Macaca fascicularis: one gene and its partners. The protein of the gene in region 6 interacts with the protein of the main gene of each other region in a pairwise test. Links are inferred from orthologs where the notes say so. Each region holds a gene or a part of one and is shown on either strand. Other genes may lie near its edges. The genes, in order: MPG, CA8, SNAPC3, TBC1D22B, NEK6, HSD17B14 and PHF1.

Region 1 (2,359 bases), on a different chromosome or scaffold from region 6:
ATCGTATTTTTGTCAGGATGTGGGACTTGGATGTGTTGTGTGTGAAGGAGCCAGGGCAGGGGGGTGTGGTGATGAGGGCGGCCAGGCTTTGACTCATTTGCAGGCGGCTCTGTGGGGGCTCAGTGGGACCGTGAGGGGCATGTGTTTTGCACTCACAGGGATGTAGAGGGTCCCGCTCCTTCCTACTGAGGTGGGTCAGGGTGGGCAGCGGGTGCCCCACCTGGTGAGCTGGAAGCAGCGTGGGAACCACAGAATGGACGGGAACTTAAAGGCTTTGCTTGGCCTTGATTTTAGCTTGAAATACTTTGACAACTGGCTGGTCAAGGGTATCTGCTGAGAGGAATGCCGCACTTGCTGGCTTTGCTGGAGGGCATGGCCTCGTCCGCTAGTGCTCGCCCCTGGCTGCTGATGCAGAGGCTCACATGGCCACAGCCCAAGAGTGGGGACTGGCTTGGCCACCTCTGGGCTAAGCCTCTGACTCCCAGGTGGCTGGGAGGGCCAGGGGTGCACAGGTGAGTCACAGCAGGTGTCTCCAGGGAGCTGCCTTGCTGGAGGGCTAGGGCTCCTCTGGCCAGGGTCCAGGTCATCATTGTCCCCAGCCGGGAATCCAAGGGACCTTTCCAAACCTGCAGGGCAGAGGAAATTCAGATATCTGTGCTTGAGTGAGCCTCTGGGCCCGGGAGCCTTCACTTGCTGTCTCTGCTTCTCAAGTGGCCTGGCCTGGTGAGGGAGGGGCTAGGCTGGAGGAAGGATCCCAAGGGAGGTGAGGGGCGCTTCGCCAGCCTTCTCCTGCCCTGCCTGTGCAGGGTGTGGCAGTCCGTCTTTCCACTGAGTCACTGCATGGGCTCTCCCGACATCCGGTGCACACTGACAGCTGCTCTAAGCCAACCCCTAGCCCCCACCACTTGACCAACACAAATGCTGAGTGGGTGAGGCAGAAGGGGAGCCCTGGGGCCTGGCTAGGCCCAAGGTTTCCTGCTTCCTGGCAGAATGATCGCAACCGAGGACTGGCTCTCTGGAGCTTCCTTTGCTGGCCTCATAGCTGCTGCCAGTCACAAGACCAGGGGAAGCCAGGTAGAAAGGAGATGGTATCCGGCATTCATCATGTGTTTTTAACAGTCTGGCTTTGTGAGGGCGGCCACAGTGGTGGAGGCACTGCCTGGTGGTGGCAGCCAGAGGTGCCCACAGGAGGCACACCTCATGGTGCAGGCATGGAGGATGGCAAGGTAGGCAGAGGGGTCTGGACACAGTGAGGTGCAGCCCCCTCCCACCAGGTCAGACCCAGGAGACGGTGCAGGTGCATAGAGCAGGTCCCTGGCCCAGGCAGGAAGGCAGCTGTCTGGATGTGCACTAGGGCAGAGAAGACAGGAGCCTAGGGAGGCTCCACTTCCACATTGTCCATCCATCCCACAGGGGACGGGGCTTGCGTCTTGCTGCGAGCACTGGAGCCCCTGGAAGGTCTGGAGACCATGCGTCAGCTTCGCAGCACCCTCCGGAAAGGCACCGCCAGCCGTGTCCTCAAGGACCGTGAGCTCTGCAGTGGCCCCTCCAAGCTGTGCCAGGCCCTGGCCATCAACAAGAGCTTTGACCAGAGGGACCTGGCACAGGATGAAGCTATATGGCTGGAGCGTGGTCCCTTGGAGCCCAGTGAGCCAGCTGTAGTGACAGCAGCCCGGGTGGGCATTGGCTATGCAGGGGAGTGGGCCCGGAAACCCCTCCGCTTCTATGTCCGGGGCAGCCCCTGGGTCAGTGTGGTCGACAGAGTGGCTGAGCAGGACACACAGGTCTAAGCAAAGGGCCTGCCCAGACAATATTTTTTAATTGTTTAAAAAACAAATAAATGTTTTATTTCTAGAAAATTGCGCTTTAGCCAGAGCTCTTCTAGGTGATCAGCATGTGTCTGGAGCCAGCTCTTCCTCCAGGACACGAGGGCTGGGGGCCCTGAGTACGTAGTGCCAGACCCAGTGTGGATGCTGGGGAGAATCATCAGTGTGGGAGCAGAGAGCCCCCGAGGGTGGGGTCCTGCACAGTGGGCCATGCCTCCACCAGCAAGATGTGCACAGGTGACAGGGCTGCTCCAGCCTAGCAGGGGAGCTCAGGCCCTCGCGCCCCAGATGGTCAGGACCAGGTCACAGCTTCGCTATGAGCCTGTTTGTGGCTTCCATGGACTGTGGTGAGGGCTGGGCCAGGAAAGGCTCATGGCAGCCTGGGAGGAAGAAGTGCATGGCAGACAGAGGTGGTGCTAGGGACAGGGCCACAGGGCACTTCACAAATGGAAGGCTGTCAGAGAGACGGGGACAGGCCACACAAGTGTTTCAGCACATTCTTCAGGGTGGCCACAGAGGGGGGTTCCAGGGAG
Region 2 (4,246 bases), on a different chromosome or scaffold from region 6:
ACCCAGAATGCAGTGAGTCAAGAATGAATTTAGTTTCTCACACTGGTTCAGTACTTTGCACAGTTAAGGAAAAGAGAAATTATATGAATGCTTAAAATCCACGGGTTATCCTCCAAGCTAATGTTGGCCAGTAGCTTTCCATCTATTTGGTTAAACCTTCCAGAAAGTGGCAGAATTGAGTGAGTTGAGGGTTCCCCCAACTTCTTTCCATCTCAGTGTACTTTATGGAGCAGTCTGTAATAGCTTTTTTTTTTTTTTTTTTAAAGGCTATGAGGTGTCTTTTTAAAAAGTGGAGGTGCTTAGCAGGCAGTAAAGGATATGAGCACAGAACCTAAACATTCCCAAACAGATCATTTCCATCCTTATTTGAGGAATCATGCATTCATAAGGTTGGTGTGATTTAGGAACAGGCCATTCAAACTGCAAATAGTCATCTTCATGAATGACCAGAGCATATAAAAAACAAATTGTACTTAAGGTCCTAACCCGAGTTTATTGTGCACATATATCTTCTAAAAATGTGGAGTTAACTTACTTAGGGGTTACTGACCAGGGCTTCCAAAAGGCGCAGGAACAGAGGGCTGAAGTCACTAGACTGGGAAGCACGTTTAAGAGTAACAACGCCACCTCTTTGGATCAGAAGAGTTCCTGTTTGTTATGCAATGTGTGCACTTCATTATTTACACAATTTCACTAGGTGACTGGGAGCTGTGTACACAGCCAGGTGAGCCTGCAGCAGCGCCCCAGACTCTGACACCGAACACCCTCTGTCTACTGCCTTCTGCTAGCCCTGCCTTTGAAATAATACCTTTTTCTGGAGGGGAAAAAAAAAAAAAAAGAAAAAAGGAAATCTCTAAATCATATCTTACTTCTCTAGATTACAACTATTTTCTTTCCTTAAACGTTTTTAGGAATTAATAGAACTTACTTGGAAAAATTTCCATACTCGTTTCCACTATGCTGAACGGACGATTTAAAAAGTAAACACTCAGAAAATACTAAGATTCCGCTGGAGAGCCTCTTTTTACTGTGTTATGGGGTCTCCCAGCCCTCTCCTTTCTCCTACCCATGGCAGCCCATCTCTCTCCTCCAGGACCCCTTCTTTTTGGCATCCTGGAGTACGGATGAAAATAAATAGGTGAGCAGCCTCTGGACCAGGCCAGGAACACAGGGGTCCTGAGGGCTGACCTTGGGAGACTTGCGGGCTTCTGGAAGGAAGGCGCGGGAGGCAGAGCAGGAGTCTCCGCTGCGAGGAAGCACCAGGGGCGACCCCGGGGGAAGGGCGGACGGGGATGCGTCGACATTTCCGTGACTTGGGACTGGTCGCCCAAGGCCCATTCTAACTGTCGGCTCCCTGGCCCCCGCGGCCAAAGAGAGAAGGGGGCGGATCCTCGCGTGCCAGACACGCCCCGGCCGGGTATAAAATTCGCCAGGCGCTCGCTCCCCAGGCCACCGCGGCTCCCTTGTTCCGCTGGGGCCTCCGGACGCGCTCCCCGCGCAGGTCTCTGGAACACTCGGGCCGAACGTAAGCCCGCTTGCACTCACACTGCAGTTCACACCCGCAGGCGCGCTCGCACCCACATTGCCGCTCACGCGCGCTCACACTCCCCCACGCGCGCTCCACTCCCGCTCCAGCCCCGAGCCCCGCGAAGGCGCAGGCACCGCCGCCGAGAGCGCCAAGGGGCCCCACGGCCTTCCCATGGCGGACCTAAGCTTCATCGAAGATACGGTCGCCTTCCCCGAGAAGGAAGAGGATGAGGAGGAAGAGGAGGAGGGTGTGGAGTGGGGCTACGAGGAAGGTAAGCGGCCACGAGTCGGGGTGTCCAGGGTCCCGCGGCGGCGTCAGTGTCTCGCCGAGCGCGGGACTCGAGTCCTGCTGCTGCCGCGCGCTCCGAGCACCTCCACGTCCCCTCTTTCCCACGGGGGTCTCCGCCACTTTCCCACTCCCCTGGCGCGTTTCGGGCGGGAGGCGTTCCAGGGAGGCGTGCTCGCCGCCTGCGTTCTCCCGCCGCCTTCGCTGTGGCCCGGGAGCCTTCTGCAGGGCTGGCGTTCGCACCTGCTGCGGTCCGGAGGGCGGGCTAGCCTCCAAGCCATGGCTGTACCTTTTATGTCTTCTGAGTAGTCAAGAAGAGCAGCGGTACATTTTACTTAACACCTGAGGAAGACAGTGTTAGTGTTAAGAATTCTTTTTTGACTTGAAGACTTTGGGGAGAAAGTGTTTCTGCCTCTGGTCTTTTCGTGAAGCCTGCTAGCAACGCTCGTCTTTCTAAAGTATGTCCTAAATTTCAGACTGAATCGTTGGGTTTGGCGAGAAGCGGTTGACTCTCTGAAAAACCAGAGTTTCCTAGATTTATTAAAGACCTAGGGCTCCTATTAGAGCCAACCAGTAGTGCTGATGTTTACTACATATGTTGAAACCAATATAGAATATATAATTTTAATTATAAAAAATTTGGAAAGAGTATGGGAATATATATGTACATAGATATATACATATGCACACTTTAAAATACTGCACTTGCATTTCTGATAAGGGGCGTCTATTTACTAGCATGAGAGTTAGGGTTTTTGACTGTCACAATGTATGTTTAAAGTTACAGCTATTTCCCAAATACTGAATGTAATTTTGAACTAATAAGCAGAAGAAATTGTTCTGGTATTCTTTTTTTCTAATCACTTAAAGATGACCCACATTTCCTAGAGTCATAAATTATTATGTCTTTGTTGACAAATACAAATAGAATATTTTGTTAGTCCGGGAATTTGTATATGGTATTTGATAATATCAGATCATTCAAATAATGAATGCAAAAACACATAGAATTACCATATTTCATCTGTATAGTGATGGTATCATTACTGTCTTCATAATATCAAGGATTCTAAGTGTTTGGTTTTTACATGTTAAATTTTACTGTAACTTATTTTTTAACCTGTTTTTAATGTATTTCATTTTGTTCTTAGGTGTTGAGTGGGGTCTGGTGTTTCCTGATGCTAATGGGGAATACCAGTCTCCTATTAACCTAAACTCAAGAGAGGCTAGGTATGACCCCTCACTGCTGGATGTCCGCCTCTCCCCAAATTATGTGGTCTGCCGAGACTGTGAAGTCACCAATGATGGACATACCATTCAGGTTATCCTGAAGTCAAAATCAGGTATTTTAGAAAATATGTTTGTGTGGTCTTTTAAACTAGAAGTCAGCATGGAGTTATCGAACTGTGATTTAACTTGCACAATTTAAAAAGTACAACTGACGTATCTCTATGTTCAGGATACCTTTATATTATAATATAAAGCATTTTTGGGAATTACCTTCTGAAACAATTTTGAAAGGATAAAAGGGTGAAATTATGATGATTATCAGTCGGTTGTTCTGCTTCTTACGATGTTACTGGAACAACATTGGTTTGATCACCTTATACCTTGTGAAATATGAGGACAGGTACATGCAGGTGCACTGATCTGCATTTTGTCCAACATTGTTGGTTAGCTTAAATCACTTAGATAATCATAATTCTGTTTTGCTACTTTGTGAAACCAAAAATTAGGATTTATTGACATAATGTGGCATTCAAGGTAAACTTCTCAGGTTAATTTTCTCTACTGTATTAATTTGCTGAAAATAATTTCAACTAATAACAGTAAAAAAAAAAAAAACCCTTTAAACTCAGTCAGAGATTTAAGTGGTAAACAAACCTCTTGCTTTTATTTATTTATTTATTTAAGTTCCATCCCATGAAACCTCCCCTACCCCTTGCAAACCTATTTGAGATGGATCTGAAATGTTCTGTGGAAAAGGTGTTCGGCAATTAACAAGGAAATCAGTTTTTGGCTTTATTGTAGGAAAGAGGAAATCAGATTTTTAAAAAATGTAGCATTAATAGCATGCATTTCATAGTGAATAATAACTATCTTTTTCTTTTGGGAAAAAATAAAGTATGTTGAAATATTAGGATGTACTTGATAAATAGAGACTGTGCTCAAACATTAATTCCAAGTCGATAAAGTTGATGCCTCAAACCATAAAATCTTTAGGTTTGTTATTAATCAAGGCAGCTGTTGATATCCAACTATGGATTTATTTTATTCATTGTAAATGTTTCTAAGCTTTAATTTAGAATCCATGAGATAGTCATAGATTCATGTCGTCTCCCTTGCTGTTGTGAGTTTAGTCAGCATGTGAGCATTGCCCAAAAGAGTTTCTGGGCTTTATATGTACTTAGAGTCAGTTTAAGATGTAAATTT
Region 3 (3,500 bases), on a different chromosome or scaffold from region 6:
AGGAAAAAAAAAAAAAGTAACCTACCTTATGTCAGTAATGACAATGACATGTTCACAGTCTCCCTGATGACAGTATAAGTAAGGAAAACCCAGTTTAATACACAAGTCATTGAAGGTGAAATCTTCCATTCTAGCAGTCTGAAACTTTCCATATCCTCTATCATGGGACTCTGACCACTCAATGATAGTTCTAAGGGGGGAAAAGGCAAGGATATATCATTTTTCCACAAAAACTTAAAAACTACAGAAAACAGTTTGTGACTGCAGTAATTCACATTAACCTAGCTCACCCAACTAACTGGACAGTTGCCATCTTGAGATGAAGACCAAGATGTTTGATACATGTTGAGATTAGGAATGCTGAATTTTCATAAGGGATCAGTTTTCTGCAGGTTACATGATGTGTATCACTTTAGCTTAAATGCAGAATGTGTAACAACGTCACTCATTGAGTTTTGAAAAATATTTTGCACAAAATGTTAGTATGTAATGAGATTTAATATTTCAAATATTTCTTAGTTTCAATGTTTAATATCATAAATATTGATAGTTATAACCCACATAAGCAGAAGCTCATCGAAGTCTTCAATTATTTACAGTATAAAGAAATGCAAGGCTGGGCACGGTGGCTCACACCTGTAATCCCAGCACTTGGGGAGGCCGAGGTGGGCGCATCACTTGAGGTCGGGAGTTCGATTCCAGCCTGACCAACATGGGGAAAAACCCCATCTCTGCTAAAAATACAAAATTAGTTGGGTGTGGTGGTACATGCCTGTAATCCCAGCTACTTGGGAGGCTGAGGCAGGAGAATCGCTTTAACCCGGGAGGCGGAGGTTGCATTGAGCCGAAATCACACCATTGCACTTCAGCCTGGGCAACAAGAGCAAAACTGTCTCAAAAAAAAAAAAAAAAAAAAAAAAAAAAACCAAAAACACTGAAACCAATAGGTTTGAACTGTTGGGTTAGAATACAGATTAAAAATGGCTATAATAAGGCCGGGCGCGGTGGCTCAAGCCTGTAATCCCAGCACTTTGGGAGGCCGAGGCGGGCGGATCACAAGGTCAGGAGATCGAGACCACAGTGAAACCCCGTCTCTACTAAAAATACAAAAAATTAGCCAGGCACGGTGGCGGGCGCCTGTAGTCCTAGCTACTCAGGAGGCTGAGGCAGGAGAATGGTGTGAACCCAGGAGGCGGAGCTTGCAGTGAGCCAAGATCGCGCCACTGCACTCCAGCCTGGGCAACAGCGTGAGACTCCGTCTCAAAAAAAAAAAAAAAAAAAAAAAAAAAAAAAAAAAAATGGCTATAATAGGCTGGGCATTGTGGCTCACACCTGTAATGTAGCACTTTGGGAGGCTGATGCAGGCGGCTTGAGGCCAGGAGTTCAAGACCAGTCTGGCCAACATGTCGAAATCCTGTCTCTACTAAAAATACAAAAATTAGCCAGGCATGATGACACACACCTGTAGTCCCTGCTACTTGGTAGGCTAAGGCACGAGAATGGCTTGACCCAGGAGGCACAGGTTGCAGGGAGAGCTGAGATCGTGCCACTGTACGATGACAGAACGACACTTTTTTTTTTTCTTAAAAGGCAACAATAATATGTATAATTATATACTCTAATTGCTAAGACATTGATAATGAAAGTATGGTCTCATTAAAATGAGCTTAGATATAGATTTTTTCTATATTATGTACTTAAGCAACATATATATCACCATCATCTAGCACAAACAATAGTATATACTAGATAGGCAGAAAAAACAGTGACAGGTTAATTTACCACTATTACTTATATGTAAAGGCCAGAGACTAATAATGCATGTTAATGGGATTTAATTTATTATTATATTTTTTAGAGACAGAGTCTTGCTATATTACCCAGGCTGGAGAGCAGTGGGTATTCACAGGTGAGATTATAGCATGCTATACAGCCTTGAACTCTTGGTCTCAAAAGATTCTCCTGCCGCAGCCTCTGGAGTGGCTGGGACTACTGTACCTGGCTAATTTTTTTTTTGGATGTATGTAATGCTCAAGACAAGATTTATCAATAATTCCTTGGCAAAGGTCCTTAATAGGCCAATAATAGGATTTGTGGAGATAACACTATTTTGATAACTAGAAATAGGAAGGACTTTGAGAAGATTTTTGGAAACTATACCTGCTCAAATCTCTGCATTCCGGGTATCTTTTATCATTATAAAATGTTCCTTCAAAATAAAAGAAGGCTGATTTGTATAGGTCCTACAAGAAAACAGATGGTATTGAGAGAAAGTCAACTATTAACAATTATGAAATTGCTCTAAGTATTAATTCAAAATTTATGTATCATAAAATCACACTAATACAGGTTACAAAAACTGCTGCTACTTTCAATTTTACCCTACTGCTGTTTTAATCACTACGTTTGATTCAAATGTGTATATTCTCCCGAGATTCATGAAAGAAACCCAATTAGAAATCAAATAAACATCATTATTTTATCATATGAATATACAGCAGTAAGTAGTGTTGGATACTAGAACTAAAAATTAAACAAAGTCCTATCTTTAATGTTTCCCCAGTGATAACAATGATCATCAAGTTATGTTTTTCTGGCATTTTTTGTATTTGCAATGTTTTTACAAAAATTCTCTCTTTATATTTTCAGTAACTCTTAGGCAGACAGAATCTGAATTTCTATTTTTACTCAAGCAATCTTGCCCCAGGTACCATAGTTGTACCACAACTGGTGGGAACCTTCAAGGTTTCTTAACTCATTCTACCACAGCTTCCGTCAAAGGAGTGGCTCTCACTCCTGACTGCAAAATCAAATCACAAAAAAACCAAACACCAAATGTCAACTCGGACTCATTAATTAAGAATCTTTGGGGATCAGTATTTTTCCAAAGCTCTCTAGAAAAAAACATGCAACCAGAGCTGAGAAGCACTCTGTTAAACTGGTCCTTCACCATCTATTTAGACCCCTGGATGAGGGTCAGAAGACCTGAGTTCTTTTCCTTAACCTACCACTTACTAGCTTTGTGATTCTGGTATGTAGCAATCACTTCTCAGACCTGTTTTCTCATCTGTGAAATGAGAATAATAGTATATGCCACGATGTCTTACAGGATTGTGGTGAAGACCAAAAGCAATTTATGTATAGGAGATATATGCTTCAGGTACTAAAATAATTTTACCCTAATATTTTATTTTTTTCTCTTACTTCTTTGAAGCTTCCATTTTTCTTTCTTGTCTTCATTCCCCCACTTACAGATCATCTTGTGTTCGCATCAGACACTCTTGTAAGACTGGCTATCTTGTTTCTTCTTGGACCAGTCACTAAATCTCACTCACCCTCTGTTCTCCCATGTAAAATGTGAGTAAAGCCTTTACCTTTCTCATTGGTTGTTACGGAGATTAAAATGTATAATGTACTTAATGTCATATGACCAGCTGCTACAATACAAAATCTGCCACTTAATATACTTCTACACCCTCAAAGAGGTAAGCAGGGTCTGA
Region 4 (3,996 bases), on a different chromosome or scaffold from region 6:
AACAGGTATGTAGTTTCTTTTCGGGATGATGAAAATGTTTTGAAATTAGTGGCGATAGTTGCACAAAACCATCTGTACTATAAATGAATATACTAAATACCACTGAAATGTACACTTTAAAAGAATGAATTTCATGGTATATTAATATCTCAATAAAGCTGTTATTTTTAAAAAGAACGTTTCATTCATTTGTAACTTGTTATTTTATGTAATAAAATTTTTATTTGTTGTCACTAAGGTTGTTGGATCATGATCAGACAGAAAGAATCTTGTCATCGCTTTGATTTTTCACCTTTCAATTTGCAATGAAGAGTAAAGCAGTTTCATTTCCAAGTTGCCATGCGTCTAGTACAGTCATTTGTGTCATTTCCCCACCCAGGAGAAAGTTTTTCTTCCCTAAGACCGAAAGAGTACAGATGCAAAAGTTCTATTCTTGAGAAAATGCTCTAATATTTTCTTTAAATCAAAGTACCTTTCTATCTAAAAGAACCTTAGTTTTCTCCCACGACCAGAGGCTTGTGGGCTTTACTGCTAAAAGCACACAGCTGAAAAATATTTCTCTTTACCAAGTAAGGTACTAAAAATTATTATGAATTGTGACAATATTTGAATACCTTAAAACAAACAAGGAAGACAATGAGCTGGGGTAAGGATCTGAGTAACATTCTTTTAAATGTTTACTTGCTCTAATAATGACAGTAATATTAATAACTACTGTCTTCTGAGCAACTATAATGTGCTAAATAAACACTGTCCTAGGTTCTTTACAAATAGGGTATTTCACTTAGTCCCCACAGTAACTCTGAGGAAGGTATTTTTATTTCTCATTTCATAGATAAGGAAACTGAGGCCTAGATAGATTATTTGTCTTGGTCACACACACAGGAGAGCCCAAATAGTAACCCAAGTCTTTCTGAACTCAAAAGTTCTCTATTTCTCTATATTCTTCGAAATGAAAAGGGAATCCAGAAGCTTGAAGAAACTGAAAAGACTTCTCTTCCTATCTCAGAAAAGTAGTGCTTTAAAAAAGTTGACTGTTCTTATAGTCAAATACAGGAAATACAGGAAAAAAAGATTGTTAATAGCAACCACCAGTCAGAAGGCACAGAAGCACATCTCTTGCACTGCTTCCTGATACAACTGTCTTCCTATTGATTCTGATTATAATCTTAGGATGTCAAAATTTAATGATCTCACTATGGAAAACCCCGGAGAATAGCAGTTAGCACAACTAGAGAGCTCACTAAACCAGGAAGGAAAAGGAATCAGTTGGCAGGAAGTGGTGCTTACCTAAAAACACAGAACATCTTTAACAGTTATATCAACACCGCAAGTCCGCAGCACTTTAATCTGAAGTTATCTTTCTATTATTTAATAAGTATTACTAAAAGCTGATTTCCACCTATTTTCCATATGTCTACTAGGATCCTTAATAAAACAAGACTCTTGGTGGGGCATGGTGGCTAACGCCCACAATCCCAACACTTTGGGAGGCCAAGGCAAGAGGATCACTTGAGGCGAGGAGTTACAGACCAGCCCAAACATAGTCAGACCTTATTTCTATTTCATTGGGGGGAAAAAAAAAAAGTAAGGCTCTAACTTAGCCACTATTGACCCTCATCTCCCTCTTGCTTAAAAAAAAAAAAAAAAAAGTCACGAGTTCAAAAGATCATCCCAGAAAGAAAAAACCTGAATCCATTAGAAAAGGTAGCACGTGGGGCACAACCAAACATGAATTTCATCACCAAGTAGACTGTGGCTGGCAGAAATCTTAGATTCACGACTGAAATACACACTCTTCCTTATACTTCTCAGGACTTTGCCCAAAATAAACTGAAACAGTAAACCAACAGTAGACTGATGAATGGATAATTTGCCAAAAGTCTCAACATACACCACAAAGAGGGTGGGAGTAGTCTTAGGAGGTCTGCTCTCCAGCTAAACAACTGAAGAATGAAAGAATTTAGTGCATTTGCACAAGAAGTGCATTACAATACAGGGGAGGAAGAAGTCACTTGGGGTTGGACAAATCCTTAGAAAATGCCAAAGGAATAACCTGATTCTGTGGTCGCCTTGTAATAATTCCCAGTGGGAAAGGCCAACTCAAGATAAAGTAAGGTCGGAGTTGAGAATTGTCCTCACTTTTCCTGCCTAACCCTCTCGGCAGGCGACCCCAAACTCCCACAAGAACCCTTCGGGTAAGTGCCGAGCTGGGGGAGCAAGCCATCCTCGAGCGACCAACCACCTGTGCGTGGTGGAGACCCCTGAGAGGGAGTCCTAATTAGAGTGGGAAGCAGCTCTGGGGAGGAACCCCCGAGACCAGGGCCGACACTGACTACTCACCCAACTCCACTCCCCTTTACGCCCAATCTTCGGCCACCTTCTCGCTGAGGTCACCCCTCCAGAAACCTCCGCCCCCAGACCCCGGTCTACACCCACATCCAGCCGTCCCCAAAGCTCGCTGTTCGCTCCTCTGCCTGACAGCTGCCCCAAACCAGTCTTCCGGCCTCGGTGGCGCCCCAGGGCCGCGGGATTTAGGGATTAGGATCTGGAAGGGTTTGGTCCAATACCCTCTCCCTCTCAGCGTCCTGGGCTCACCTCCCCGGCAGCTTAGCGCTCCTCTTCCAAAACTGCTTGCTGTTGTCAGCGGCCATTGCTCTGGCAGGGGGAAGGCCTTGTAGGCGGGCCAAGGGGTTGCCTGGCGAGATGCCCCCAGACCCCGCAATCTGAGGGCCAACCCAGGCCGCTTCCCCGCCGCCGGTCACCCGCTCCCAGCTCCTAGGGACGCCATCTTGGATGTGGGCACCCCTCCACCCAGCACCGCTGCCATTGGTGGGCTGCGCAAGCCGTGGACGGGCCGACCAATCGGGAGCCGGAATCCTGCAGGCCGCTGAAGCCAACGGGTAACGTCAGGGTCTGGGCACACAGGTGGACGGGGAAGGCGGAGCTTGGACGAGCAGAGAGGTGGGGCTCAAAGTTCCTAACCCGCAAGAGGGAAGAAGCAGGTAAAGTAAGGGACCTATGGGAAGGAAGAGAGGGGATTATCTTCTTCGTGAGGAATGAAGTTCCTGAGTCTAATATTTTTTGGCAAGAGAGAGCATACTATGTATTTATATATAGGAATATTTGACCTAAAAGTAAAGGCCCATGTGTTTGTTGTGGCCCATTTTTAACATCTCTCAACTCAATGACACTCTGGTTATTACCCTCCCTTCCTCGTTCCGTTTAGATGTCCATTCGTTTTTCTGAAGGTCAGCAGGGACCCGATAGCCCGGGATTGCTAACTGCTCAACACGTGAGCAACGGTTCATCAGAGTCTCCCTCTCCCTCTGTTTATTGAAAACGATTGAAGGACTTGTGCTGTGGGTGAAAAATTCAAATGATCTAATCCCTATGTCAATCCATAACTCTCACTTTCTGACTATGCTAACGGTGTATAGGAAATGGTTTATCATAGCTGTCCAACTCAGATTACCAAATACGATTTCTTTGAAGGACACAGTATAGCTCCATCGTGTGAATCACAAAGTTAAGGATGTATCTCCTCCCGGCCCCACCAACATCCTTAATTTCCCTTGTTAATCTGTTATAAATCTTGCACCCTTGAATTTATTTTCAATCTAATTTTCCCAGACAATGAGATTTAATATTAGCATTTTGAATCCTTTGAATGTCTTGTCGGTGTTTTTTGCTGTTTTTGAGTTTCTGTGGTTGTATTCCGTGGTGATTTGGGGAGAGAGGGAAAGCGGGCACCAGTCCAGAGTGGTTTTTGTCCCATCGAAGGACTGTTGAGGTGGGCTGCGTGTCCCCCACTCCCCCGCCACCCTCCATTTACAGCTACCACATGTACTTCCACATATTGGAGAATACATAAAGACCCGACCCCCGACGGGTATGTCCTCCAACGACGGTTTCTACATTACTCCCATTTTCAAGCTTCTTTTGTCCCCTAATTTTAGAATTATAGGATTGGATGATGAGGGCTATTTTTACTTC
Region 5 (4,285 bases), on a different chromosome or scaffold from region 6:
CCATCTCAGTGTTGGTGAGTGGACTGGGGGAAATACGGCACCAGACGTAGCACACAGTATATCCTCAATAAATGCGGACATGGCCGGGCATGGTGGCTCATGCCTGTAATTCCAGCACTTTGGGAGGCTGAGTTGGGTGGATCACCTGAGGTCAGGAGTTTGAGACCAGCCTGGTTGGCCAACATGGTCAAACCCCATCTCTACTAAAAATACAAAAATTACCTGGGTGCAGTGGCATGTGCCTGTAATCCCAGCTACTCAGGAGGCTGAGGCAGGAGGATCACTGGAACCCAGGAGGCAGAGGGGGCAGTGAGCTGAGATTGCGCCACTGCACTCCAGCCTGGGCAACAGAGACGTTGTCTCAAAATTAAATAAATAAGTAAAAGTAAATGGGGACCATCTGTCATGGTGCTACTTTAACGAAATTATGCAGGTCACGTCTCTGAACCTCGGTTTCCTCATTTGTGAAATGGGGATAATAAACCCTATCTACGATGAGAAGAAAATGAACGGATGTGTGTTAAAGTACTCAGCACTAGGTCTGTGCACCTCAGCCAGTCAAATACCATATCCCAAGTGCAGTGGAAAGAGGAAAGGCTGTGAGGTTGGGCAGGTGACTTAGGATTCTGCCCCCACCTCCTCTCAGCTGCCCCAGGACACAGGCTTGACCCCCGTGTGCCTCAGTTTCCTTGTGCACAAAACCAAAAGCATTTTCTGTCGCAGAAGAGCACTGGGAGATTCACACACCCTAGAACGGCTCCCAGCACACAGTCCCTTCTGCTCTGTAAATGGGAACCTCCTCCCCATTTCCCTCCTCTGCCCTTGTTCAAACCCACCAGAAATGCCACCAGTTAAAGCCGGGCGCTCCATTTCTGGAAACCCAAACAGCTCTAAATCCAGACCAACCTGGGTCTAAGGCCTTCAGTCTGAGACTTTATTTTGTGGAGATACAAACTACTTTTTAGTCATTTCCGAAGCAGACGGGACGGCAGAGGCTGACAAACCACAGGGACCATTTTAAATCCTGGGCCTTTTCTTCTGGGAAGTTAGGCAAGAACCTTCCCAAATGTTTGCCCATCAGGCTTTCTGCCAGGGAGTGACTCATTCCACGGCTCCCCACAGGCATATTTTATTTGGGGGTGGGGGATGCAGGGAGGGCTTGGCCTTGATGGGGGAAGGAGAGGGGGCATTTCCAGCAAACTCAGAAGGTGTTTTCTTTTTTTCATTTTCAGGACAAAAAAGAAAAAGAATGTGGGTCTTTTTTGCTTCCTTCCAGGTTTTGTTTGCTAAAAGAAGACGTCCAAAGTTCACTCGGTAAGCTCAAACTCGCTGAGTCCGGGGCAGGCGCTTCCAGCCGGCTCTGCGTCCCTTTCAATGAAATTCTTCTTCCATTAACGACACGGTTTTTAAACGTGCCTTCAAGACCTGCCTGCACGTACTGTACACCAAACTAAGGCGACATTTTCCCCCAGAAAAGGCAAGCTGAATTTGGAAAAGTCAGAGCAAGTAGGGAGCTCTGGAGTTTCTAAAGTTTGCCTTAAAACAATTAAGACTTTCAACTGCAAAGATTTTCAACAGTTAGAGAGTGCGCACACACACACAAAAGCCTGTCAGTCAAAACTGCAAGGACAGACCTCGAAAGCTGGTGTCCCAAGCCCGCTGTGATCAATTTGTTACCGTCCTGGGACTCACACTTGGAGCCTAAGCGAGGTATACATAAATCAAAAGATCCATCTACTTAGCAGGGCGGGCAGAGAGGCACCCACATACACAGGCAAGTATAAGGTCAGCCCCCCAGGCCTGGCTGAAAAGAGTCAAGAACAAAGACAGGGGAGCCCGGAGGGTATTTAGGAAAACACCGTCCTCGGGTGCCCGGCCGAGGCCCACCACAGCCTCCGCTCGCCCAGCCTGTGTGTGCAGAGAGGGTCCTGCCAGTGGCCCTGCCACAGCCTGGTTTTGAGACCTTCGCCTCTGTCAGGCCCAGCCAGGCTCTGAGTCTGTCCTCCCGGCCCCTGGTTCACCAGATCAGGCCCAGTCCTGACCCCCAGCCCATGCCAGGCCGATTCTCTCTCCACGGGCTCCCTGGCTTGGGGGCCATCACTGTGCAAAGGCCTGGTGGGCGCAAAGGGGGCCCTCAACCTCAGTAATAAACACGCTCGCGCGGTCCTGCACACTCGTTATACTCACACCCACACAGGCACACTTTCGCCCTCCTGGGCTCACGCATGTGCGTGCACACAAATCACTTTGGAATGCACACACGTGCACACACACACTCCCTGAAACCCGCACGTACTCCCTGCGGCGCCCGGCACACTCCTCCGCCCGTCGTCCCCACTCGGGAAGTGGGTAGCGGGGAGCCATGCCCGCGTCCCCGCACGCACTCACCCCAACAACGCCACCAGACGCTCCGGGGTGCACACGCACACCCGCCGGGGACGCGCACACCCCGGGACACGCGGACACGCCGCCGCCCCCGCCCGCGCCCGCCCGCCCGCCCACCGACACGCTCAGCCCCGCGCGGCCACACGCGCGCCCGCCTCCCGCTCTCCCCCGCGGAGCCCCGGGCGCGCGCCCGCCCTCGGCCCGGCTGGGGGTGACGGCCCAGCCGCCCGGCCCCCGCCCCTCCCCGGCCCGCGGGGCCCCACCGGCCCGGCCCCAGCCCCAGGCTACTCACCGGCGCGCGGGCGGGCTCGGCTGCCGCGGGGGGACCGGTGCGCGGGCCCGCGGGCGGCTAGAGCGGTGCGTCCCACACGAGTTGGCGGCGCCGCGGCCGCACGCCAGTCCGCTCGGTTCCGCCGCCGCGCGCGCGCGCGCCCGCCCCTCCCCGCCGCGGGGCCGCGCCGCCCCCTGCGCTCGTGCGCGCTGCCGCCACGCAAGCTTGAGGGGCGGGGGGCGCCCCGACGGCGTCCTTCCTGGGCCTGGACCCCTCGACTCCGCCAAGTCCTGCGGCCGATCCGCTCGGCAGAGAAACCCCTTCCCCATTTCAGAGATGAGAAGACTGAGGCCCAGAGTCACAGGGCGCAGGCCGGCGTCTCCCCCTCTTCTCTGGCTTTAGACTTACGATGAGGGTCTGCAGGCAGCCAACCCTTGAACTCCTCCCGTGCATCTTCGGATTCCCCATCACCTAGCATTGCTCCTGCCACAGTCCTAGTTATACTGAAATTGGCAAAGTAACAAGCACTTATTTTGCACCAGCTGAATGCAGGCACTGAAGTAGGCTCCAAGAGTATTCCGATGAGGGGAAGGCCCTGTCCCCCGCCCTCAAAGTGCCAGCGACTCTTCATCTGGAGCTCCCACTTCCTGTGGCCCCCAGGGTCCAGCAAGAGCCAATGTGCAGAGGTTTCTGGAAGTGGTAAAAGTCCCCACTAAAGAATGCTGAACGCGCCCTCTAGAAGTCAGAGCCTCCCTGGGACCCAAGCAGCTCAGTTCTCACTTCACCTCCTCCCTGCGCCGAGAGCAGCCGCTCCTGGCTGGGTCGTTTCCACCCCTGCCGCTTCCCCTCCATATTCAAAACTGCGCTGCCCCCCAGGAGGGCTGGAGCTAGGGACACTGACTGCCTGCTGAGGCACAGCACTGTACTGGGCACAGGGTGAATGCGTGTCGGGCTTCTGTTTGCCAAATGAGTGAAGGTGCTTTAACTGGCCGTGATGTGTAATAATGACACCAACTGAGCGTCCACCATGTGTGCCAACGTTACCCTTGTGCCCATTTTACAGATGGGCTTAATGAGGCTTAGAAATGAAATTTCAGGCTGGTTGTGGTGGTTCACACCTGTAATCCCACTACTATGGGAGGCCGAGGTGGGAGGATGCCTTGAGGCCAGGAGTTTGAGGCCAGCCTGGGCAATATAACAAAACCCCATGTCTATTAAAAAAAAATGTAAGAATTTGCTGGGTGTGGTGGTGCCTACCTGCAGTCCCAGCTACTCGAGAGGCTGAGGCGGGAGGATCTCTTGAGGAACTCTTGTCATAGGAGTTAGCAGCTGTAGTGAGCTATGATCGCACCACTGCACTCCAGCCTGGACAACAACAATAAAAAGCAAATTCTTTTGTTCAGAGTCACGCAGATGGTAAGTGGTTGCGCTAGAAAGTGGACGGCAGATTGTCTAATTCTAGTACCTGTGTGTTCCAATTACTAGGCAGCCCTGCCTCAGGAATAGCATAGCCCTGGGCTGCTGGAACAAGAGGGCAGACAAGGAAGCAGCTGGCCCACAGGAGCCGGCCTGGTCTCAGCTCTTGTGGATGAAAATGCATACATCACAAACCAATGGGGGGAAAATGGA
Region 6 (4,150 bases):
AAGGAACACCACCCCTTACTTGCCGACTTCCGAAGGTCACCGGGAGCGGGTTCTCAGCCTCTCCCAAGCCCTGGCTACTGAGGCGTCGCAGTGGCACAGAATGATGACAGGTGACTGGCTGGGGATGTTGAACTTCTGGGTTTTAGGGAGGAGAAAGCTGGAGACCTGGAATCCCAGGTCCTGGAGAGGAGGGGTCTAGGGGCCGGTGGGAATTTTTTATGTTGGCGAGGAAAGAGTTGGGCAGAGTTTGGGAGTTTTAGGTCTCAGGCAAGAGTGGACTGGGTTCCGGGACACTTGGGAGGAGGGGAGGAAGAGGTCAGGGGGCGGGGAGAGGACCGACATCTGAGTCTGAAAGAGGTCTGGACTGGGGTGTCCAGACTCCTGGGTCTGAGGGAGGAGGGGCTGGGGGCCTGGACTCTTGGGTCTGAGGGAGGAGGGGCCTGGGAACCCGGAGTCCTGCTGCTGAAGTTTGCCATTCTTATGTCTCCCACTCATCCTCTCTAGGTGGAAATTTGGACTCCCGGGGAGACCCTCTTCCCCGTGTGCCGCTGCCTCCTTCGGACCCCACGCGCCAGGAGACCCCTCCCCCAAGATCTTCCCCGGTGGCTAATTCGGGTTCCACAGGGTTCTCTCGCCGAGGGAGTGGGCGTGGAGGAAGTCCCGCCCCCTGGGGGCCCACGTGGGATGCCGGGATCGCCCCTCCGGTCCTGCCCCAAGACGAGGGGGCGTGGCCTCTGCGAGTCACTCTGCTACAGTCCAGCTTCTAACCCGCCCAAACGTGGCAGCCAATCGGAGCGTGAGCACGTGGTCTGGAGGTACCGCCGGAGATCTGGGACCACTCAGGGCATCAGGGGCGTGGTCTGGTCCCCATCGCCCGTCCGGGAGGGAAATGGTTTCTATGGCCAAAGTTTGATTTTCTCAACACTGTCTAAATTTGGATTAAAACTTTGAACTTTTAGTCAATAGCTTTGTTTCTGTCTGTTTGGGGTTGTTGCACTGGGGTCTCTGAGGGGCAGAGCCGGAGTCGTGCACTCCTGGGTCCTGAGAGAGGAAGGGACAGGGTGCTTGGACTTACAGGTCTCTGGGAGGAAGGGATAGAGAATCTGATCCCTCAGTCTGAGAGTGGAGGGGCCTGGGTCAGGATTCCCGGGTCTGAGGGAGGAGGGGTTGGGACCCTGACTCCTGGGTCTGAGGGAGGAGGGGCTGGGAGGCTGGACTCCTGGGTCTGAGGGAGGAGGGACTGGGGCTCCTGGATTCCTGTGTCTGTGGGAGGAGAGGAGTGTCTGAGGGAGGAGGGGCTGGGGACAAACTTCCAGGTCCCTAGCCTTCCTGGCAACGCCCCCCGAGGCTGGACTTCCACGATCCAGCTTCTATTGAGGATTTGATGCGACGGCCTCACGTGGCTTTGGAGGTGAAAAAGGCCCAGAGTAGAGACACAGAGAGAGAGAGAGAGAGAGAGACCGGTGGACACGGATGGCTACGGGAACGCGCTATGCCGGGAAGGTGGTGGTTGTGACCGGGGGCGGGCGCGGCATCGGAGCTGGGATCGTGCGCGCCTTCGGTGAGCCGGGTCTGACTGCTGGGAGCTGTGGAGCGTGAGAGAGGAAGGATGGGGGCGGGGCGATGGGGGCGGAAAATAGGGTCTCCAATACTGCAGCCGGGATTCTGATCTTATAAAAGCCAATTTGCAGGCTAAAGTAAGCGTGTGGCGCGGTAGGCTAGGGCTGTCTGGCAGGGTCTCCGAAGGCAGTGGCCCCTTTCTCTGGGTCTGTTGGTATAGCTGCAAAACCAGTGGTTTGGGGAATGGCCCTGTCAGTTGTGGAGTTTGCTCTGGAACCCACGAACGGGGGATCAGGAGCCTCAGCAGAAACCTGGGCAGGCAAGGAGAGTATGTGTCAAGGCCTCTGCCCTCTGTCCTGTGGGTGATCATGAGACTGGGGTCACGAGGGGAGACGGAGATCGGCCCCAATCCAGGTGGCCACAAGAGGGCGGCAGAGGCTTTAACCAAGACTCGGAGGGTAACGTGTTGCCTTCCTATTCTCAGTGGACAGCGGGGCCCAAGTGGTTATCTGCGACAAGGATGGTGAGTGAGGGTCCCTCAGCCCTCAGCCCTCACCCTGGTCCTTCCTCCCTCAGTCCAGGGGTCCAGGAGCCCCAGCCCCTCCTCCCTCAGTCCAGGGGTCCAGGAGTCCCAGCCCCTCCTCCCTCAGACTCAGGAGTCCAGACCCCCAGCCCTCCTCCCTCAGACCCAGGAGTCCAGACCCCCAGCCCCTCCTCCCTCAGACCCAGGAGTCCAGACCCCCAGCCCCTCCTCCCTCAGACCTAGGAGTCCAGGAGCCCCAGCCCCTCCTCCCTCAGACCCAGGAGTCCAGACCCCTGTCCCTCCCCCCTCAGACCCAGGAGTCCAGATCCCCAGCCCCTCCTCCCTCAGACCCAGGAGTCCAGGACACCAGGCCCTCCTCCCTCAGACCCAGGAGTCCAGACCCCCGGCCCCTCCTCCCTCAGACCCAGGAGTCCAGACCCCTGTCCCTCCTCCCTCAGACCCAGGAGTCCAGACCCCCGGCCCCTCCTCCCTCAGACCCAGGAGTCCAGACCCCTCCTCCTCCCTCAGACCCAGGAGTCCAGGCCCCCAGCCCCTCCTCCCTCAGACCTAGCAGTCCAGGCCCCCAGCACCTCCTCCCTCAGACCCAGGAGTCCAGGCCCCAGCACCTCCTCCCTTGGACCTAGGAATCCAGGGCCCCAGCCCCTCCTACCTTGGACCCAGGAGTCCAGATCCCTGTCCCTCCTCCCTCAGACCCAGGAGTCCAGGCCCCCAGCCCCTCCTCCCTCAGACCCAGGAGTCCAGGCCCCCAGCCCCTGCTCTCTCAGACCCAGGAGTCCAGGCCCCCAGCCCCTGCTCTCTCAGACCCAGGAGTCCAGGCCCCCAGCCCCTCCTCCCTCAGACCCAGGAATCTGCAGGCCCCCAGACCCTCCTCCCTCAGGCCCAGGGCTCCAGGCTCCCAGCTCTTTTCTGCCTGCAGAGTCTGGGGGCCGGGCCCTGGAGCAGGAGCTCCCTGGAACTGTCTTTATCCTCTGTGATGTGACTCAGGAAGATGATATGAAGGTGAGCCGAGTTCCCATTCCTACCCCCATCTCCGCTAATGACCAGTTCTTTGTTCTCCTCCAGCCATTTGCATGTGCCTTTCCCTCTACTTTTCCTTCCTCTCCTGGCTCCACTGGACCCGTCAAAGGTTTCCAACCAGTGTCACTCCACACACAAGATCTTCTGTGACTGACGAGCAGGTCACATGTTCCTTCTCTCCCACCTCTCCAAGGCTCTTAGCACATCTGACACGTGGGTGGAAAGGAATAAGTCCCTCAAAGTGGGTCAACTGTAACTGATTTTTCTGTCTCTTTTTTGGAGGTGTCACTGTCACTGAGGCTGGAGTGCAGTGGCGTGATGTTGGTTCACTGCAACCTCTGCCTCCCAGGTTCAAGCCACTCTCCTACCTCAGCCTCCTGAGTAGCTGGGATTACAGGCGTGTGCCACCATGCCCAGCTAATTTTTTTTTTTTTTTTTTTTTTTTGAGACGGAGTTTTGCTCTTGTTGCCCAGGCTGGAGTGCAATGATGCGATCTCGGCTCACCGCAACCTCCGCCTCCCGGGTTCAAGTGTTTCTCCTCTCTCAGCCTCCTGAGTAGCTGGGATTACAGGCATGCTCCACCACACCTGGCTAATTTTGTATTTTTAGTTGAGATGGTGTTTTTCTGTGTTGGTCAGGGTGGTGTTGAACTCCCGACCTCAGGTGATCCGCCTGCCTTGGCCTCCCAAAGTGCTGGGATTACAAGCATGAGCCACCGCACCCGGCTAATTTTTGTATTTTTAGTAGAAACGGGGTTTCACTATGTTGGCCAGGCTGGTCTCGAACTCCTGACCTCGCGTGATCCACCCACCTCAGCCTCCCAAAATGTTGGGATTACAGGTGTGAGTCACTGCACGTGGCCTGTAACTGATTTTTTTCTCCATTATTTCTGGGTTCCTCTTTCTTCCTTTTAATCAGTATCTCTCTGTTATCTGCCCCCCTTTAGTAACTGTCCCCTATACTCTCTCTGAATCCTTGTCACCCCCATGCCCCACCCCCTAACCCTGGGTGCAGTGTGGCTCTGACCAG
Region 7 (4,281 bases), on a different chromosome or scaffold from region 6:
TAATAGTAGACCACTAATTGCATACCTGTGTGTGCTTGGTATTGGGACAGGAATAGTCTTTACCCATCTCATTTAATCCTTGACCATGTTCTTGATGAGAGGGTACATGATCCTTATTTTACGAGTCAGGGAACTGAGGCTCCTAGAGGTTAAGGGACTTGTCCAAGGTCATATGGTTAGAAAAGGATGCAGTTAAATCATCCTCTGCTTGCAAAGGTTACACCACCCCTTTCCATGGCTGCTTCTCCCTGGGCTGAAAGGGGATGAGGACTAAGATAGGGCTAAGCAGCCTGGCCAGAGCAGTGGCTTGGGGACTAAGGCCACGACAGGTGACATAAGGACCATCCTGGAGGGAAGAGCAAGCTAGACCATTCAGGTGACCTGCCCTCTCACCATGGCGACACTTCTCACAGCTGACCAGCCGGTTCCCAGGGACCACAGTCTCAGAGCGACAGACACAACAGAGGAGTTCCTCCCCAGGGAGGGCAGCTGTGAGAGAACACAGTGTCACGGGGCCTGCCCTTAAGTCTCTTTCTGCCCCTCTAAGCCAGGTTTGTTTTCCATGGGATGTGCAATCTCAGGTCTCTAGTCTTACCAGGGCTAATGTCTTTCCATAGAACCAGAAACTGCGAATCATCCTCAAACTGGACCAGACACACCTCTCTAGCACTGTCCACCTGGAATGGGTGAGCAAAGAGAATGAAATGGGAACCAGAATTAGATAAGGGAAATAGGAAAAAGATCAGAAGTAGGTCTTACCTTTTTGATGGTACCCAAGTATAGCAGCCCATCAGTCCATCTGGCCAGCACATCTTGACCCTCCCAAAGTCGAGGCCTGGGGCCAGAGGTGGGAGCAGGAGAAGCTGGGTCCCAAAGTGAGGAGGTACCAGAGCGGCTCAGCCGGGGGGGCTGCGCCATTGCATCCTGGGGGGGCCTAGCCAGAAAAGAAATGGGGAGGAGAAGGTTATGAATGCTCAGAAAGCTTCCCCATTTTTTTTTTCTGAGATGGAGTTTTGCTCTGTCGCCCAGGCTGGACAATCTTGGCTCACTGCAACCATCACCTCCTGGGTTCAGGCAATTCTCCTGCCTCAGCCTCCCAAGTAGGTGGGATTAAAGGTCTACCCACCACCACGCCTGGCTATTTTTTGTATTTTTAGTAGAGAGGGGGTGTTGGCCATGTTGGCCAAACTGGTCTCGAACTCCTGACCTCATGATCCACCCACCTCAGCTTCCCAAAGTGTTGGGATTACAGGCGTGAGCCACCGCGCCCGGCCAACTTCCCCATTTTCTTTGCCTATTTTGCCGTCAAGAATGAAGGATCTGTGCCCCCATCTCCAAATCCCTGAGACACCTGGATAGGAAACCACCAGGCACCCATCACCAGCTTCTTGAGTCCTCTTTCAACTCTAGTGACTGGCTCTCCTCACGGTAACTGCCCTCCCCCCAACCCCAAACCTAGTTGCTAGTTTCCCAGCTTCCAGAGCTCTCCTGGGATATTATATCCTGGCCTTGAAATTTTAGGAGAAATTACGGTTGTAGAAGCAAAGGCTACCACTCAGTTTAGAGGTATCATAATTAGGGTGTCCTGTTGCCCAGAGATGTGTTTTGGGACCTTTTCTGGAGATGTTTTCCAGAGCAGAAACGGCTGTCTCCCCAGGCCTGCGTGTCTCATTAAGAACAATCATCCTGGTGCCAGGTTATGTCAGGTCACCCTCAAATTCGGGGCTCCCTGCCCCCGGGTTAGACAACTTCTCCGAGTGCCCCGGGAGGGGGGCGTGTCCCAGTCCTGGTCTCCACTCCCCAGGACCGCAAGTCCGAGAAGGGACTTGAGTCGGCCCAGCTCGGACCCGAGGCCAAGGCGGCGAGGCTCTCCCGCCCGCGCCCCGCGCCGACCCCCGGCTCCCTGCCCCCCACCGGCGCCTCCTGCCGCCTCCTTACCGGTGACAGCTGGGGCCGCCAGGAGCCGGGCAGGGGCAGACGTAGGAGACCTAGGCGAGTCCCCCGCGCGGAGAGGGCACGTCCGGGCGTGGGGGGGTTGTGCAGGCGGAGGCCGGGGGGTCCCCAGGCCCAGCCCCTCCGTCCCGGCGGCTCTGGGGCGTATGACGCAGCAGCCAAAGCAGCAGCAGCGGCAGGAGGAGGAGGCGGCGGGGGGGAGGGAGGGGAGGGACGGACCGGTTGGGGGGGAGGGTGGTGGGAGGGGAGGACTGGGGGGAAGGAGGAGCCGGAGGGGGGGGCGGGCACCACCTCACCCCACCTCCCTCACCTCCGACAGGCCTGGAGGGTGCCGAGGAAGAGGCAGGCCCTCCACGGCTTGGGAAGCAAACAGTCGGACCCGGTGGGAGAGGGAATCCCCTCAGCCCCTTCCTCCGACCTGAGACTCGCCCTTGGGGCACGAGGGAATCCCCCCTCCCGGCAGCGCGCCTCCGGACTGGTCCCCCGCCCCATGCCACATCCGTTAACTGCCCCACCCCCCATGGTCACTCCAAGTCCCGCCCCCCGGCCCCAGTTCACGGCCCCGCCCTCCATTCACCCTTCTCGATGCCCCCACCACGCCCTCCTCCCTCGCGCGCCCCGCCCTCCACTCGCCGTTAGCCCCAGCCCCGCCCTCCCCGTGGCAAGTCGCGCCCCACCCGCCGCCCTTTTGCGCACGCGTGTCCCCTCCTGCGCGCGGCACCTGGGAGGACTGAGCTCCTCCTTCACGGGGCGGCGGCCGTCGGCGGTTGGCGAGAGGGAGTCGGCGGGCGTGCGCGCCGCTTCCCGGGTACGTCCCGCCCCGTGCTTCCAGGGCTGGCGCAAAGACGAAGGGGGCAAGGACCCGAGGCGGTGACGCCACCGAGAGCCAGCCAATGGGCAACGAGCGGGCAGAGCCCCAGCCGTTCGAACGGAAAGGCAGGGAAAGGGCGGGAGGAAAGAGCCAGCAGTTTGGGAGCGCGCGCTAGCCCCGCCTCTGGACTCCGGGGTCCGGTCCCCATTTGCCGACACCCACCAAAGGAACGTTGCTCCCTGGGGCTGGGGTGGCCGGCGGAAGGGTGAAACTTATCTAGATAACTAGTGACCAAGGAGAGGGTGTGGATAGCTAGAGGGCACGCCTCCCTGATGTGAGGGACGGGGGAGGGGGTATTAGCAGAGGGGAAAATGATCCAGACCATGGTCCAGAACCGGTGAGAGCTAAGGAGAGGAAAAGCCCAAGCCCTCAGCCCCCGCTCCCGCCTCCCACACAAACGTTTGGCAGAGGGGACAGATCACAGCTCCCACCTTTACAGATATGAAAATATCTGCCTTCTTGGGCAGATAAACCTTTATTTAAAAAAAAAAAAAAAACTATTCTTTATTTGATAGCCCTGGGACATGGTGCCCTCTACCCAATAAAGCACCCTCCAGCAACCCTCCCACTCCTCACCCAATACATACACATACAGATACAGACACACACACACACTCCCAACACAAGATCTGGATCCGTCTTCACTTCCTGTTGGCCTGGGCAGTACCAATAACACACTGGTTCACCTGGGGGTAGACAGGATAAAAGTTTGCAGAGTAACCAATACATTTTCCCCAAGATCTCCTTCCATCCTCCAATGCTAGGGCTGCCCTCAGAAATACTGAAATAAGGCCTCCAAAGGCAGGTTCAGGCTGGTCCCAGTTATGGTTGGTTCTCCTCTGCACACGGTTTGGAGGAGGTTAAAAGGCCTGAGAAGAGATAGAAGCCCCAGAAGAAAATACAGGAGCAGAGAGAGGAGGCTTTCATTTCCAGCAATACCCTGTACTAGAGACCTCCAACCTCTCTCACTGTAAAATACTTAAACCGAGATAAAAGAGTAATAACACCCATTTAGGAACTAGGACTCCTTAGAAAATGGATCAGTTGAAATCTGGGGAGGAAATGTACAAGTTGAATCTGAAAAGACTGCTTGAGTTCTGTCTAAAGGACACTGGCGCCAACCTGAAGGAGGTTCTTTTTTTTTTTTTTTGAGACAGTCTTGCTTTGTCACACAGGCTGGAGTGCAGTGGCTCGATCTCGATGCTCACTGCAAGCTCCGCCTCCCAGGTTCATGCCATTCTCCTGCCTCAGACTCCTGAGTAGCTGGGACTACAGGCGCCCTCCACCATACCTGGCTAATTTTTTGTATTTTTAGTAGAGACAGGGTTTCACCGTGTTCGCCAGGATGGTCTCCATCTCCTGAGCTCGTGATCCACCCGCCTCGGCCTCCCAAAGTGTTGGGATTACAGGCGTGAGCCACCGCACCCGGCCAGGAGGTTCCTATTGGCCCAAAATGG

What was found.
Region 1: the proteins of HSD17B14 (region 6) and MPG interact in binary tests that used the Homo sapiens proteins (3 or more experiments, as listed by UniProt). The two-hybrid records come from large-scale screens. The link is inferred for Macaca fascicularis from reciprocal best matches to the Homo sapiens genes HSD17B14 and MPG.
Region 2: the proteins of HSD17B14 (region 6) and CA8 interact in binary tests that used the Homo sapiens proteins (3 or more experiments, as listed by UniProt). The two-hybrid records come from large-scale screens. The link is inferred for Macaca fascicularis from reciprocal best matches to the Homo sapiens genes HSD17B14 and CA8.
Region 3: the proteins of HSD17B14 (region 6) and SNAPC3 interact in binary tests that used the Homo sapiens proteins (3 or more experiments, as listed by UniProt). The two-hybrid records come from large-scale screens. The link is inferred for Macaca fascicularis from reciprocal best matches to the Homo sapiens genes HSD17B14 and SNAPC3.
Region 4: the proteins of HSD17B14 (region 6) and TBC1D22B interact in binary tests that used the Homo sapiens proteins (3 or more experiments, as listed by UniProt). The link is inferred for Macaca fascicularis from reciprocal best matches to the Homo sapiens genes HSD17B14 and TBC1D22B.
Region 5: the proteins of HSD17B14 (region 6) and NEK6 interact in binary tests that used the Homo sapiens proteins (3 or more experiments, as listed by UniProt). The two-hybrid records come from large-scale screens. The link is inferred for Macaca fascicularis from reciprocal best matches to the Homo sapiens genes HSD17B14 and NEK6.
Region 7: the proteins of HSD17B14 (region 6) and PHF1 interact in binary tests that used the Homo sapiens proteins (3 or more experiments, as listed by UniProt). The two-hybrid records come from large-scale screens. The link is inferred for Macaca fascicularis from reciprocal best matches to the Homo sapiens genes HSD17B14 and PHF1.

The regions. Positions count from the first base shown.
Region 1 is NC_088394.1:815,201-817,559, forward strand, and holds the end of MPG (DNA-3-methyladenine glycosylase), read left to right. Parts: intron 1-273; exon of another isoform or gene 274-626; intron 627-1,413; coding exon 1,414-1,790; 3' UTR 1,791-1,859; downstream 1,860-2,359. UniProt on the Homo sapiens protein: Hydrolysis of the deoxyribose N-glycosidic bond to excise 3-methyladenine, and 7-methylguanine from the damaged DNA polymer formed by alkylation lesions.
Region 2 is NC_088382.1:70,231,322-70,235,567, reverse strand, and holds the start of CA8 (carbonic anhydrase-related protein), read left to right. Parts: upstream 1-1,446; 5' UTR 1,447-1,699; coding exon 1,700-1,799; intron 1,800-2,964; coding exon 2,965-3,156; intron 3,157-4,246. UniProt on the Homo sapiens protein: Does not have a carbonic anhydrase catalytic activity.
Region 3 is NC_088389.1:83,399,835-83,403,334, forward strand, and holds part of SNAPC3 (snRNA-activating protein complex subunit 3), read right to left. Parts: intron 2,244-3,500; coding exon 2,161-2,243; intron 191-2,160; coding exon 26-190; intron 1-25.
Region 4 is NC_088378.1:134,396,958-134,400,953, forward strand, and holds the start of TBC1D22B (TBC1 domain family member 22B), read right to left. Parts: upstream 2,801-3,996; 5' UTR 2,655-2,800; coding exon 2,599-2,654; intron 2,476-2,598; exon of another isoform or gene 2,344-2,475; intron 1-2,343. UniProt on the Homo sapiens protein: May act as a GTPase-activating protein for Rab family protein(s).
Region 5 is NC_088389.1:19,820,475-19,824,759, forward strand, and holds the start of NEK6 (serine/threonine-protein kinase Nek6), read right to left. Parts: upstream 2,801-4,285; 5' UTR 2,678-2,800; intron 2,459-2,677; exon of another isoform or gene 2,389-2,458; intron 1-2,388. UniProt on the Homo sapiens protein: Protein kinase which plays an important role in mitotic cell cycle progression. Required for chromosome segregation at metaphase-anaphase transition, robust mitotic spindle formation and cytokinesis.
Region 6 is NC_088393.1:56,819,704-56,823,853, reverse strand, and holds the start of HSD17B14 (L-fucose dehydrogenase), read left to right. Parts: upstream 1-1,350; 5' UTR 1,351-1,473; coding exon 1,474-1,561; intron 1,562-2,044; coding exon 2,045-2,083; intron 2,084-3,020; coding exon 3,021-3,103; intron 3,104-4,150. Other genes in the region: PLEKHA4 (pleckstrin homology domain-containing family A member 4), read left to right, coding at 1-110, 505-767. UniProt on the Homo sapiens protein: Catalyzes the NAD(+)-dependent oxidation of L-fucose, yielding L-fucono-1,5-lactone, which rapidly converts spontaneously to L-fucone-1,4-lactone. Can also act on D-arabinose and L-galactose, with lower catalytic efficiency. Does not use NADPH.
Region 7 is NC_088378.1:138,280,905-138,285,185, forward strand, and holds the start of PHF1 (PHD finger protein 1), read right to left. Parts: upstream 2,801-4,281; 5' UTR 1,939-2,800; intron 935-1,938; 5' UTR 919-934; coding exon 760-918; intron 678-759; coding exon 596-677; intron 490-595; coding exon 394-489; intron 254-393; exon of another isoform or gene 68-253; coding exon of another isoform or gene 64-67; intron 1-63. Other genes in the region: kinesin-like protein KIFC1, read right to left, coding at 3,466-3,510. UniProt on the Homo sapiens protein: Polycomb group (PcG) that specifically binds histone H3 trimethylated at 'Lys-36' (H3K36me3) and recruits the PRC2 complex. Involved in DNA damage response and is recruited at double-strand breaks (DSBs).